Linked DNA regions of Sus scrofa. The protein of the gene in region 1 interacts with the protein of each later gene in a biochemical or structural test. Links are inferred from orthologs where the notes say so. Each region holds a gene or a part of one and is shown on either strand. Other genes may lie near its edges. The genes, in order: ARIH2 and CKB.

Region 1 (6,995 bases):
AAGGAAGAAAGAAAGAAAGGAAAGAAAGAAAGGAAAGAAAGAAAGAAAGAAAGAAAGGAAAGAAAGAAAGGAAAGAAAGAAAGGAAGAAAGAAAGAAAGGAAGAAAGAAAGAAAGAAAGAAAGGAAAGGAAGGAAGGAAAGGAAGGAAGGAAAGAAAGAAAGGAAAGAAAGAAAGGAAGAAAGAAAGAAAGAAAGAAAGAAAGAAAGAAAGGAAAGGAAGGAAGGAAAGGAAGGAAGGAAAGAAAGAAAGGAAAGAAAGAAAGAAAGAAAGAAAGGAAAGAAAGAAAGAAAGAAAGAAAGAAAGAAAGAAAGAAAGAAAGAACATGGTTGGATCTGTGCCCTTAAGAAACTCACCTTTAGAGAGTTCCAGTTGTGGCACAGCAGAAACGAATCCGACCAGTAACCATGAGGTTGTGGGTTCAATTCCTGGCCACGTTCAGTGGGTTAAGGATCTGGCATTGCTGTGAGCTGTGGTGTAGTTCACAGACTCGGCTATCTGGCCTTGCTGTGGCTATGGCATATGCTGGCTGGCAGCTCTATCTCCGATTAGACTCCTAGCCTGGGAACCTCCATAAACCGCCAGTGGGGCCCTAAAAAGCAAAAAAAAAAAAAAAAAAAACCAACCAACCAAACAAAAAAAACAACAAAGAAAGAAACTCACCTTTAGCAAGGAAAAGACAGGGCCGGTACATGGGATTCCAATACATTGTACAATACACCCATATGCTTGATGTGTGAATGATGCAAATGCAATAATTACGCAGAAAAAAATGTTCCCTTTTATTTATTGGAGAGGATTTATTACCAATAACACAAAGTGAGAGATTCTAATTAAGTAAAAGATATCTTGTTACCAGAAAATACATTTTGTGTCCTTTACTAATGTCATGATGTAATGGATATGTTTTGTCAAAACAAATAAAATAAGTACACTGGGTTATACACACACTTTTGCGTTACTAATATATAAAATTTATAATTTTTTTTTTTTGTCTTTTTGCCTTTTCTTGGGTCGCTTCCGTGGCATATGGAGGTTCCCAGGCTAGGGATCGAATCGGAGCTGTAGCCACTGGTCTACGCCAGAGCCACATCTGAGCCGCATCTGCAATCTACGCCACAGCTCACGGCAACGCCAGAACCTTAACCCACTGAGCGAGGCCAGGGGTCAAACCTGAAACCTCACGGTTCTTAGATTCGTTAACCACTGAGCCACTGGGGAACTCCTAGAAAATTCATAATCTTATGTTATTCACTCCTTACTATTAATTTTCACTTCAAATTAATTTGGGGCTTCTTTGTATTTGAATGCACTTGATTTGGATACATGCTGTGAGTTAAACTGGAACCTGAAAATCGTGTACAAGAAATATACCAATAGGAGTTCCCCCAGTGGCTCAGTGGTAAGGAACTGGATTAGTACCCATGAGGACACAGGTTCCAACCCTGGTCCTGGCGTCAGTGGGTTAATGATGCAGTGTTGCCATGAGCTGTGGTGTAGGTTGCAAACGCGGCTGGTTCGGATCTGGTGTTGCTGTGGCTGTTGGGTAGGCCACAGCTGCAGTATGATACCATCCCTAGCCTGAGAACTTCCATATGCTTCGAGTGCGGCCCTAAAAATACCACCCCCCCCAAAAAAAAAACCCGAAGCAGCTTTTCCATGCTGTCCAGCAGCAACCTGAGTGAGCCTACATGGTTCTATCTATCCATAATACTTGTTAAAGGTCATAGAAGGTACTGAATGTCATATTGGCACTTTCTATACTTCTTGAAGAAACTGTGCAGCAAGAAAGTTAAGATTCAGCCTTGGGTGAATGGGAGAAGTAGGCTGCGGAAAGGGAAAAGGAAGCTTGGTGTGGTCCTGCAGATCCGCGGCCACCAGGGGACGGCATCTGAATGTAGGCAGAAAATCCCGACCCGGTGCGCTGACCCGAAGACCCAGCTCTCCTTTGATCTTTGATCAGAGAGCGGATGGGAAATAGAAGTCCTTTATCCATTCCACGAACGTCAGGGTGTCTTCTCCGTGCCGGACACGGCTAACAAACGGTGAAGTGAGGAGTCCATCAGAAAAACTCGGGTTTAGGAGTTCCCGTCGTGGCACAGTGGTTAAAGAATCTGACTAGGAACCATGAGATTGCGGGTTCGATCCCTGGCCTTGCTCCGTGGGTTAAGGATCCGGCGTTGCTGTGAGCTCTGGTGTGGGTCGCAGACGTGGCTCGGATCCCATGTTGATGTGGCTCTGGCGTAGGCCGGTGGCTACAGCTCCGATTCGACCCCTAGCCTGGGAACCTCCATATGCCGCGGGAGAGACTCAAGAAAAGGCAAAAAGACCAAAAAAAAAAAAAGAAAGAAAGAAGAAAAACTCAGGTTTAGGGTATCCCGGCGGGCGGCGCTGGTAGGAGAAAGCAGGAAGAGATGCAGTGAGTGACCCCTCTCCAATAAGCCAAACCCTTTCCTCTGCTGCCCCTCGCAGCAGTCGGCGCCGGCAGTGCGCTGGGCACACTCTGGGTCGGAGCGCTAAGCTGCAGAGAAGCAACCGCGCAGAAGCGTTATCACCCAGCGCCAGTCACGACCCGGGCGACCGTGGGGCGACCTCAGGCCGGAAGTGACGCAACTGCTCCGAACACTTCCGGAGCTGCGAAGAAGGCTCCGCCAGAGGAAGCAGCGCGGGCCTTGACCGGCGTTGGCTCGCCGCCTCCGCCGCCGCCGCGCCTGTGTCCGGTTCCTCAGGCCTGGCCCGACCCAGTTTGGTCCGCCCGGGCTCAGCGGCCCCGGGGCCGCGGCTCCCGGTGAGTGCGCATTGCGAGTCGCGGCCTTGTTTACCCGAGCGGGCCGGGGGAGGGGGGGTGGGCTCTCCTCGCGCCTCCCTAGCCAGGCCGGGGCTCCGCCTTCGTCGCTGCCCGCGAGGTCCCGGCGCCCCCCGCAGCCTTTTCACTGTCTCAGCGCCCTCTGCTACCCGCCGAGGGGCGGCTAAAAACCGTAGTCTGAGCGGACTAGCGCCTGGCGCTTCTCCGTTTTTCCTCTTCTAGCCGCTTGCTCTGCTCGCGTAAAGGTCGGAGGCCGGCGCCTCTCACCGACTGGCGCCGGCGCATCTGGGCCCTCTCCGCCGGCCACACCAGGGAGACTCACTGCCTCCGGAGTTTCCCATTCGAGTCATCACTGGGAACTCTCGCAATGCCTCCCGCGCGGCTAGTTAACGCCCGCCAGTGAAGGCTCCCCAGCGCGTGGGCTCCGTGTCCTCGCGGATATCCCGGCCCTTCGGACACGATATGCAGCCCAGGAACTGCGCCGCCGCCTCGGGGGACCCTGCTGTGCTAGCCGCGGGAGAGGCTACTGTGTTCTCGGATGACTTCACCTCAGTACTGATTGTTACCCTGTCCCATAGAACTTTCTCTCACAATGCGTATATTCTGTACCTTTGAGTAACCCTTGACCACTAGCCACCCGTAGCCCTTGAGCATTTGATTTATGGATAGTGCGACTGAACAGCCAAATGTTAAATTTTGTTTAATTTTTAAGTTAAATAACCGTGTGTTGTTAGTGACTACCGTATTACCTTGCGGATTTAATGTAGGGTTTTGAAACTAAGTTGCTGATTCATATTTTTTTACTAGGTTTTCTTCGGAGATGTAGATTTAGTAAATGACTATTTAGCGCTAAATATTATATCTGTAGTTAAACATCGTTAGATCCACCAAAATGTTTTTGTTTTGCTCATGTCAACTTTAAACTGAGAAGTCTTCCGTTTCAATTCTTTAGCACGGAGTGGATGTCAGGTCTTCTGAACACGTGACTTTGGGGGTGGAGTGGGAAGTAGTTTCAGTTATTCCTTTTCTGTTTGGGATGTAGGGATAGTATTTAACATCCAGAGGAAATCAAACCGTTATCATCTGTTCTGTAATAAGGCAATAACGTACTGGTCTCCTTAAGCAGTGTCAGTATTCTTTCAAGTAGAATAAAGTTTATTTAACTTTGAAAAGGTAACAAAAATTAAGATTTTATTTAAGTCTAGACTTAGAACACTCAGTAAGTATGAAATGGTGTTCTTCTTTTTGGAAGGGAGCCTGATGTTTTCCCCTCCTTCTTGAGTATTAAGTTGATGAGAAACCTGTGGGCAACCCTTAAAGCCCAAATCCTGGAGAGAAATCCGGAGAAAGTGAAAACCTTGCTCTTTTATTGTAATTCTGGAGGTGGCTTTGTGAATAGTATTAGGCTCTCCAGGAGAGTGATGGGGAGTTAGGAGTCCTCATAGGCCACGGATCTGGTGAAAGTGTAACACTGGACTCTACTGGTTGGCAGCAGTGTGGACCTGGGCAAGTTATTTAATCTTTTTGAACTCTTTTCCTCATTTATAAGAAGGGGATGATAGCTACTTTGTAGAGTTATAAACATTTAATGAGAATGAATCTGACCTGAAATTGGTGTCATTAAATGAAAGCTATTATTGGTAGTGCTGTTTTGCAGATGGGAGCAATATTTATAATACTGTTTATGCTTATTTGCCCAGTAAGCAGTATCTTATGTAAAAATGCAGATAAAAGTCAAATTTTAGGAATGGAGTTCACATTGTGGCTCAGTGGGTTAGGAACCCAACAGTGCTGGTGAGGATGAGGGCTTGATATCTGGCCTCTCTTAGTGGGTTGAGGATCCGGCGTTGCCACAAGCTGCAGTGTAGGTTGCAGATGTGGCTTGGATCTGGTGTTGCCATGACTGTGGTGTAGGCCTGCACCTGCAGCTCTGATTCTGCCTTTAGCCTGGGAACTTCTGTATGCCACAGGTGGGGCTGTGAAAAGAAAAAAAAGAAAAGTCACATAGCCCTAAACATGTCAGAAGAGAGGTGGGAAATGGGTGTTAACATTACCTAGTGAGCATTCTGTTGGGGACTTTTTTTGTTGTTGTTGTTGTTGTTTGTTTTTTAGGGCTGCACCCACTGCATATGGAGGTTCCCAGGCTAGGGCTTGAATCAGAGCTATAGCTGCCAGCCTACACCACAGCCACAGCAACATGGAATCCGAGCCACATCTGCAACCTATACCACAGCTCATGGCAACGTGGGGATCCTTACCCACTGAGCAAGGCCAGGGATCAAACCTGCGTCCTCATGGATGCTAGTCAGATTTGTTAACTACTGAGCCACAATGGAAACTCCTGGGGCGTTTTTTTATTTGAAAATAATTTTTTCATGAATAGAGATCTGAAGTATTGGCAGTATTCTCTAAGTGTTAGATTACCACAGTAGAGATGACTTTAGAGTAAAAGTCCAGTTTAAGTCAGTTGCAATTTGCTTTGTCACTCTCTATGTAACATTTAGGATTGAAATTGTGGTAATTAATTTAGGGAATCTGAAAAATAAGAGTGAAGTGGTGGGCTTTCAAACTGAGGGAGGGAACTGGGTATCCGTTTTTACCACCAGTACTCCACGTTAAATTATTGTCAGATGTTTAACTCTTTTCTTAGAAGGTCATGTCACTCTTGTCAATATGTAATTATATCATATGGGTTTCTATGGGACTTAAAATAGTTTCTGGTCCCTTGCTGCTTGTCCTTTTAAATGTTTACTTTTTAAAAAATAAATTAGCAAATTTAGGGTACCAATTTAAAAGTATATAAATAGAATTATATCTCTTTATTTTAGATGGAAATTATACAATATAGGCTATTTGGGTGACATCTTCCTGAAAGATCTTCAAGAATTACAGGTATTTTTAATTTAAATTTTAAATTTTAATTAAATTTTAATTTTCTCCTAAAGGAAAAAAAACCATAGTTGAGTTCAATTGTGATTAGGTGGTTCTGCCATACGAAACAATTCATTAAAAGTCAAATTGCGGAGTTCCTGTCGTGGCGCAGTGGTGAACGAATCCGACTAGGAACCATGAGGTTGAGGGATCGATCCCTGGCCTTGCTCAGTGGGTTAACGACCCGTTGCCGAGAGCTGTGGTGTAGGTCGCAGACGCGGCTTGGATCCTGCGTTGCTGTGGTTCTGGCGTAGGCTGGCAGCTACAGCTCCAATTAGACCCCTAGCCTGGGAACCTCCATATGACGCAGGAGCGGCCCAAGAAATGACAAAAAGACAAAAAAAAAAAAAAAAAAAAAAGTCAAACTGCAAGTATGTTAACTGCCCTCTCATTAACGTGACTTTTTTAAAAGAAAAATTCGAGCATTTGTATGTAACATCAGACAATGATATTTTTATAATATCATTAAAATGTAACTTGGGAGTTCCTAAGGTTCTGCACTGTCACTGCTGCAGCTTGGTTCACTGCTCTGGGGCAGGTTTGATCCTTGGCCTGGGAACTTCCATATGCTGTGGGCTTGGCCAGATGAACAAATAAGTAAAATGTGGCTTGGTAGTCCTTTTGACTGGCCATATCTTCAGGACACATTCATTTAAAAATTTTGGTTTTAATTATAGTTGATTTTTTTTTTTTTTTTTTACTTTTTTGGCCTAACCACAGCATATGAAGTTACCAGGCCAGGGATCAGATCCAAGCTGCAGTTGATACCTAAGCTGCAGCTTTGCCAATGCAGGATTCCCAACCCACTATGAGGGGCTGAGGAATTGAACCTGCGTCCCAGTTGTGCCATAAGGGGAACTCCTGTGGTTGATTTTTTTTCTTTGGAGAGATTATCAAACAGGTTTTTTTCTGTTTTTGTTTGTTTGTTTGTTTGTTTTTTTGCTTTTTCAGGGGGCACCTGTGACATATGAAAATTCCCAGCTAGAGGTCAACTCAGAGCTACAGCTTCTGGCCTACACCACAGCAACAGCAATGCCAGATCTGAGTCTTGCCTGTGACCTACACCACAGCTCATGGCAACACCAGATCCTTAACCCACTGAGCAAGGCCAGGGATCGAACCTGCATCCTCATAGATACTAGGCAGATTTGTTTCGGCTGAGCCACCACAGGGACTCCTAGTTTTATATTTAAATCACTATTTAAATATACAATGATACTGTTCATTGGAAATGATCACATGAAGTAGTTCTTGTGTAGG
Region 2 (6,995 bases), on another chromosome or scaffold:
TGGTAGCAACTGGGAAATAGACCAGAAGACCGCCTCCAGAACAGACCCGATCTCCTTCTGCCTAGGGACCCTAATGAAGAGAGAGGCCCAGGGACTGGGGCACCTGAGGGTTTTGGAGAGGCTTGCCAGGAGGAAGGGGACTGAAGGGGTTCCAGGGCTTCCTGGAAGGGTATGGAGCCTGGGGCGCCAAGAAGGGCTCAGTTCAGCCTAGGTGGAGGTTGGGAGGGAAGTAGAGAGACTATTTAGGAGCTAGAGTAGGTGTTGGGGTGGTGGGAGGGGATGGTGGCAGGGACAAGCTGCCAGGAAGAAAAGTAACAGGACTTGGGGGTGGAGCACCGGAAAAGGCATCAAGTTTCTGGGCTCCAGTCCCCATCCCCCCTACCCCGCCAGCCCCTGGACTGCTCACTGCAGGATGGGGCTAAGCAGCGTGCAATGCTCTACCCCCGAGGCCCGAAAATCCCTTAGGTCCTCAGGGCAGAGCTCTGCCACCCTGGGGTTCCTCTCTCCACCCCCCCCGGCCCCACCCCCAGCCCACCCAAAACCTGCAAGGAAGCTAAGTAGACAGGATGGCAGAAGAGGCTCATGAATAGGACTGGGGAGGGGGTACAGCAGGCTAACTGTCCGGACAGCCTCCAGCTTCCTGTCCCATGGCACGCAGAAGGGCAGACCCAGGGCTCAGTCCTCACAACCCGACTGCGGGGCCCTGGGCTGCCCTGGGAAAGAGGAGGCACCACTCAGACTTGGGGCAGGCCAAAACCTGTTTATTTCAGCATCAGCAACATCTTAGCCATCACAAAAATAAACTCTACTGAGGGCGGCAGGAGAAGTCTCTACAGCGAGGCTAAGGACTCAGCCACCAAAGGGTGAGCCTCAGGGGTGCATGGTGGGCACTGCCCGGGCAATAAATTAGGAAGCAGCGGGGCTGGTGGTGGCAGCAGGTGCAGGCCAGGGCTTCACTTCTGGGCGGGCACGAGGTCATCAATGGCCTGGCCCTGCTCCAGCCGCTGCTCCATCTCGATGAGCAGCTTCACCCCGTCCACCACCATCTGCACCAGCTCCACCTCGGAGAAGCCCAGGCGGTCAGCATTGGAGACATCGAAGACCCCGCCCACAGCGGCGGTGTCCACACCGCCTGGGGAGACAGACGGGTCAGCAGGGTTGGGGGGGTGTCAAGGGAGGCACCCTGAGGGGATGCCTGCAGTCCCCACCCAGCTCACCTGTGCCTCGCTTCTGGAGCCGCAGCCGCTTGAGCACCTCGGGGAACTTCTCGTGCTTGCCCAGGTGGGGCAACTTGATGTGCACACCTGCCCGCAGCCCCGTGCCCAGGTTGGATGGGCAGGTCAGGATGTAGCCCAGGTGAGGGTTCCACATGAACTCGTAGTTCTTGGACTTGAAGAGGGTTTCGATCTAGAGGCGGAGAAGGTGTCAGAGGGGAGGATGGGCTGAGGCACCCCCAGGGGACCAGAGGGGACCCAGGAGCTCCTTACAGATCTGCCTGAACCCCAGGGCCTCGTCCTGCCCCCTCCCAGGCACCAGGCTCCCACCGTCGCAGCCCCGCCTGGGGGTGGCCAGGCCTGACCTGAGTGAGGCCATTGCAGAAGCGGGTGAACACCTCCTTCATGTTGCCCCCCTTCTGCATGGAGATGACCCGCAGGTGGTCCTCCTCGTTGATCCACACCAGGAAGGTCTTATTGTCATTGTGCCTGCGGAAGGCCCACAGTCAGCCTCCTCCCTGGACTGTGGTCTCGGGCCACGTCCAGAAACCAAAACGAGGGGGCCCCAGACCCAATTCTCAAGTCCCAGAGGTGCTCGTCCCACCTGTACCAGGGGTGCGGGCTGTTGCTAGGACCCCAGCCCCGTCTACACTCTGGGGTCAGGCAGGGAGGGGATGAAAAGGCTTTGGGCCACTTCCCAGCTTGCCCAGTTTAGCCTGGGTGGCGCATGGGGGGGTACAGTCCCCACAGAGGGGAGAAGGGGCAGAGGTGGCCAGGAGAATGCACTTTATCTGGCTTTGGAAGTGGAAACAGGAGCTGGTAAGCCCTTCTCCCCCGACTCCCCAACCGAGGAAACTTCTGCGTCACCCAGCAACTCAGAGTCCCAGCGGGAAGTGGGCTAGAAAGAGAAAAGGCAAGGTCCTTCTCCCAAGGCGGGGTGTTTGAAGGCGAAAAGCCAGCAGGACGGGTCCCCCACCTCTAAGATCCCGAGAGGCTGAGGCCTCTATCAGCCAGGGTCCTTCACACACCTGCGTGCTCAAGGTCACCTGCAAGGAGGCCTGGGCGGCACCAAACCTCTCCCAGGAGCAAGGCTCCTCCCTCTTCCTCCTGACTCGGCCGCTTCGAGGACGAAGGGGCGGGGTGGAGGGACCCGCGGGAGGGGGGTTGGGCCTTACGCACCAGATGCCGCGGGCATCGGGCCAGTCGCGGGCCATGCCCGAGGCCAGCAGCAGGGGCGACACGGGCTTGTCGAAAAGGAAGTGGTCGTCGATGAGCTGCTGCTGTTCCGCCTCGGTCATGCTTTTGAGCGCGTAGTACCTCCCCGCCAGGTCACCGTCCAGGCTCGACAGGGCTGCGAAGGGGCGCGCTCAGGAGGACGAGCGGGAGGGGGCGGGGGAGGGGAGGGTCCGTGCCCATACCCTCAACCCCCTCTCGCGACAGGAGTGCATCCCACCTCCCAATGCCCGCCCAGCCTGCTGGGAATCCAGTCCTCGCGGTCGGTCGGGGCGGCGGGCCGACCCTCGCCGGCCCCCAGTGCGCCGCAGACCCAGGGTGCTGGGCCTGTCCCTCCAGGAAACCGGAGCCGGCTCGCAGATAAGAGCGCGGCGGCGGCTCAGATGACCGGTAAACAAGCGGGCAGGGACCGGCACCGAGGGGTGGGGGGGCGCGGGAGGCACCCAGTCGGCCCGACCTGTACCTTCGACAGCGAGCTTCTCGATGGCGCGGCGCTCCCCGCGGCTGCAGTGCGGGGGTAGACAGAAGCCGCGGATGCTGCGGCCCGTGCGCACCCGCGAGCTCAGCACGTAGTTGGGGTCCAGGTCGTCGCCGCCCTGGGAGACCAAGCGGGGTTCAGCGTCGAGAGAGCCCTCCCTACCCCGACCCGCCGCCCGAGGCCGCCCTGCACCTGAAGGTTGTCTGGGTTGAGATCGGTCTTGTGCTCATCGCTAGGCTTGTAGCCGCCGTGCCGGTCCTCAATGATGGGGTCAAAGAGTTCCTTGAACACGTCATACGACTCCTCGTCGCCAGCAACGCAGCCCACAGTCATGATATAGGGGTGGCCTAGAGGGGAACACGGAATGGGGACAGTGACGTCACTGCCAGGCCCGGGCAAGCTGCTGAGGATCCTGTGGCCGCGCGCGGAGAAGGGGCGCCGGGACCTTGGCCCGAGGGGGGCTGGGGGATGCCCTGGGTCCTAGACTCCCGATATATGTCACGTATACGGCGCGGGCACCCTGACCCCGCGAGTAGGGTGCGGTACCTGGGTTGTCCACGCCGGTCTGGATGACGTCGTCCAACGTGAAGCCGCTGGGCGTGCTCTTAGCGCGCAGCTCGGCATACAGCTCGGGGGTCAGCACCTTGGCCATGTGGTTGTTGTGGCCGCTGAGGTCGGGGAACTCGTCCTCAGCCGGGAAGCGCAGCTTCAGCGTGTTGTGGCTGTTGGAGAAGGGCATGGCGGCGGCGGCGGCGGCGGCGGCGGCGAGCTGCGGGGAGACGTGGGGGTCAGCGGGGCCCGAGGCTCTGAGCCTCCCACCTGCAAACCTACCCAAGGACCGGGCCAAGGTCAGGCGAGGTCTGCGCTGCGCGCAGGAGACTATCACATCTACCACGACGACCCCCAGCCTAGCTGATGCTCCCGTCCTAGGCGGTGGGCCGGGGGGCTGCGCCGAGCGCGGGACGCCCCGGCCTCTTCGCGCAGCCCTTGCCCCAGTGTCCCGCGCAGCCCTTGCCCCAGCGGCCCGGGCCCTATGGCCCACTCACTGAGCGGCCAGGCAGGGGTGGGAGCTCTCGAGAGACCGGCAGCTCCGGGCGCGTCGCAGGCGAACAGCGGTCGCTCAGAGCTCCAGCTGCTCTTAAGGGGCGCGACGCGGGCCTCCCATTGGCCGCTATTTATAGCCCATTCATTCCATTGGACCGCGCTGCGGGGTGGTGCCCGCCGCTTTGTCCGCCGCCCGGGGCCCCTACACCCCCCCCCACCCCTCCCAGGCTGCCCACCGCGACTACCCCCTGGCTGGGACCCCTTGCAGCCCTCCCACCCCGCCCGCCCAGGATCCCAAAGCGGGAACTTTAGGCCATTGGACATTCTGGATTCTCCCACCCGCTGTCTGCCTCCGAGCGGGAAACTGAGGCAGGGGGGCCACCCGGCAGTGAGGGACGCTCAGGCCTGTCTGCACCATGACTTCTGCCTTCCCTCCGCCCGCCAGTCTCCGCGGTGCTCCCAGCGAGGGGCCAGGCGAGAGCGTCCAGGGCTTCCACAGCAGGTACTGCCACCCCCCAAACCCCTCCCTTCTCCCGCCGGCCCGAGCTGGCCCCAAGCCTCTGACCTTCCTCAAGGTGCCCGCAGGCATCTCCCGGGCCATCTTGGTGCAGAGGGAGGGCGAAGTCTGGATGCCGCCCAGCCCGGCGGCACCCTTGGTAGATTGACCTTGGGCAGTTCCCAGGGGATTTTGGGGATCCCAGCCAGAGACCACCCCCCCTCCCCAGACCCGGCCCCTCCTGGTCGATGCAGGAACACATGGCCTTGAGAGGCTGCTGGGCAGTGCACAGCCTCTAGGCCTGGGCCCTCTCTGTCGGAGACAAATACATCTCCCCACCCCCCACCCCAAAGGCAGAACTTGGAGACTCTAGGCAAAAAAACAGGGGAAATGCTAACAAACAATAACTCACTAAAAATCTGAATCATGCAAGTTAAGACAACAATGACTATGCGGTCCACTACCCACCACACACCCAAATTGCAGAAGATTGACCCCAGTCAGTGTGGGCTACAGGGTGGCACGTGGGGAGACAGGCGTTCACACGCTGTCGCAGCTTCAAATTGCTACATCCTTTTTGGAAAGTCACTTGGCAAGATCTATTAAAATGTAAAATGTTCCTTCTCCGTGACCCAGCAATACCACTTCTAGGAATCCAGTCTTTGGAAAGGGCAGCCTCGTTTCTCTTTGCAGGTAGACCAAGAGATGTGTAGTAGGAGAAACAAACACCAATAAATCTGGATACTATTGGATGCCCAACATTTGGGAACTGGCCAGGGCATAGGGAAGGCATTTTCCCAGTGTGGAGTATTACGCAGCTATTAAAAAGCGTGACTTGGAGCTTGTGTGGTTAATGTCCATCATATTGCTTTGTGAGTGAAGCAAGGAAGGGAGGAAACCCTTATCTCTGTGTGGGTTTAGCAGAATTTCTCCAGGGCTGCACAGTGAGCTCTGTGGGCTGCTGCTGGGGGACAGAAGATGCCTGGAGCAAGCCAACCAATGACCAAAATAGCCTCAAGGGATGGAAGGAGATGAGAGCCTCGGGGGCAGGGATAGAGTAGAAATTCCAGTGTATTTGGAGCCTCCGAGGAAGAGGCACTGGAGGAAAGGGAAGTCCGCCGGCCTCTGCCTCCATGCAGTCCTGTGTTCACCGGGGAGGGACTCCTGCCTCTTTCCTTGCATACCCTGGCATGCTTTGACTTGCTCCCAGTCAGCATGTTTTTAGACCCATAAAACAGATCAAGGTAAAAAGGCAAATGGCCCTGGACATTCTGGATTCTCCCACCCGCTGTCTGCCTCCGAGCGGGAAACTGAGGCAGGGGAGCCACCCGGCAGTGAGGGACACTCAGGCCTGTCTACACCAGGACTTCTGCCTTCCCTCCGCCCGCCCGCCAGTCTCTGCGGTCTCAGCAGGTGTCCCTTAAGCCTGAAATTCCTGCATTCTGTGCCCCCTGCAGCCCCTTCCCCTAATTTTAGAAGGATCTGCAGCTGCCTTCCCCAGTTCCCCACCCCCAAAGGCCTGATGGGCTCAAGTTTCTGTTTCTGGAAACAGAGCTGCTGGCCCTGAAAGCCTCCTTGGCTTTCAGACCTGCCCGCCTCAGGGCTCTTTGTCTGCAGCTTCCCAGAAGGCCACCTTTCCCCTCCCCCTCCCCGCCCTCGAGTTGCCTGACCAACTTGGGATGGGGGAAGGGAAGGACCCCCATTGTTCTCACTTCCCTCCAGGAGCAAGGAGAGGTGAAGTCCAGGGGCCTTGGGGTCTTCCCAGGGCCAGGCCCTGGGGTTGCTCCTGCCCCGGTCCCCAGCCTTCTGAGATGAGGGTTTTGTCCTACTTTTGCAGATAAGCAAAGGGAAGATCAGAAGGTGGGTGACAGGGGGACCAGGTCAGAGGTCTGGCAAGCCCTGAGTGATCTTCGAGGGCCTGGGCCTGTGCTAACCAGACGCAGGGCCCACCCCAGGGACCCCCAGCGGGCCAAGCCCGGGGGGCTGGACTCGGACTGACAGTGACAGAGTGCATGGTCAGCAGCTGTGACGGTGGAAGTGGGGTGGGGCTTCCAGGCCTTTAGACTCAAGTCAGGTTGAGGCCCCCCACTAGGCAAGGGCTGCTGGGGAGCCGGTGGGGGTGTCCCAGAGCAGTGAAGCAAAGAGGGGGACTGGGGGGTACCAGCCTCTGCCTCCGGGGGAAGAACACTGCCCATGGCTAAACTAGCCCTTGTCTGTGGACCCTCCAGTCTCCCCAGGGCCCACGGGAGCCGGTTTGGTGGCGTCCAGGCAAGAAACTGGGTGACATCACCTGGCCAGTTACGTTCCAGGTTCCTCAGAAATCACACATGGTTACATATTAACCACTGGGCCCTGGAGGGGGTGGGGAGCCTCAAAGGAGTTCCGGCCTTTCATCCACAGGAATGGTCCGCTGAGCGGGGCAGACACAGACCTGGGCAGGCGGGGGCGAGCCGGGTGGGAGGGCACAGGATGGCCTCCTCAGGGTCTGTCTCCTCAGCGCGCAGCCCAGGGCCATTGCGTCCTGCAGGTG

The links.
Region 2: of the proteins of ARIH2 (region 1) and CKB, one has a biochemical effect on the other in vitro, tested with the Homo sapiens proteins (2 studies listed by BioGRID). The link is inferred for Sus scrofa from reciprocal best matches to the Homo sapiens genes ARIH2 and CKB.

What each region holds. Positions count from the first base shown.
Region 1 is NC_010455.5:31,567,460-31,574,454, forward strand, and holds the start of ARIH2 (E3 ubiquitin-protein ligase ARIH2), read left to right. Parts: upstream 1-2,669; 5' UTR 2,670-2,670; coding exon of another isoform or gene 2,671-2,924; exon of another isoform or gene 2,925-3,004; coding exon of another isoform or gene 3,005-3,089; exon of another isoform or gene 3,090-4,310; intron 4,311-5,631; exon of another isoform or gene 5,632-5,632; 5' UTR 5,633-5,696; intron 5,697-6,995.
Region 2 is NW_018084979.1:2,070,103-2,077,097, forward strand, and holds CKB (creatine kinase B-type), read right to left. Parts: upstream 3,920-6,995; 5' UTR 3,757-3,919; intron 3,695-3,756; 5' UTR 3,665-3,694; coding exon 3,472-3,664; intron 3,273-3,471; coding exon 3,118-3,272; intron 3,044-3,117; coding exon 2,911-3,043; intron 2,566-2,910; coding exon 2,394-2,565; intron 1,704-2,393; coding exon 1,580-1,703; intron 1,408-1,579; coding exon 1,218-1,407; intron 1,133-1,217; coding exon 954-1,132; 3' UTR 741-953; downstream 1-740. UniProt on the Homo sapiens protein: Reversibly catalyzes the transfer of phosphate between ATP and various phosphogens (e.g. creatine phosphate).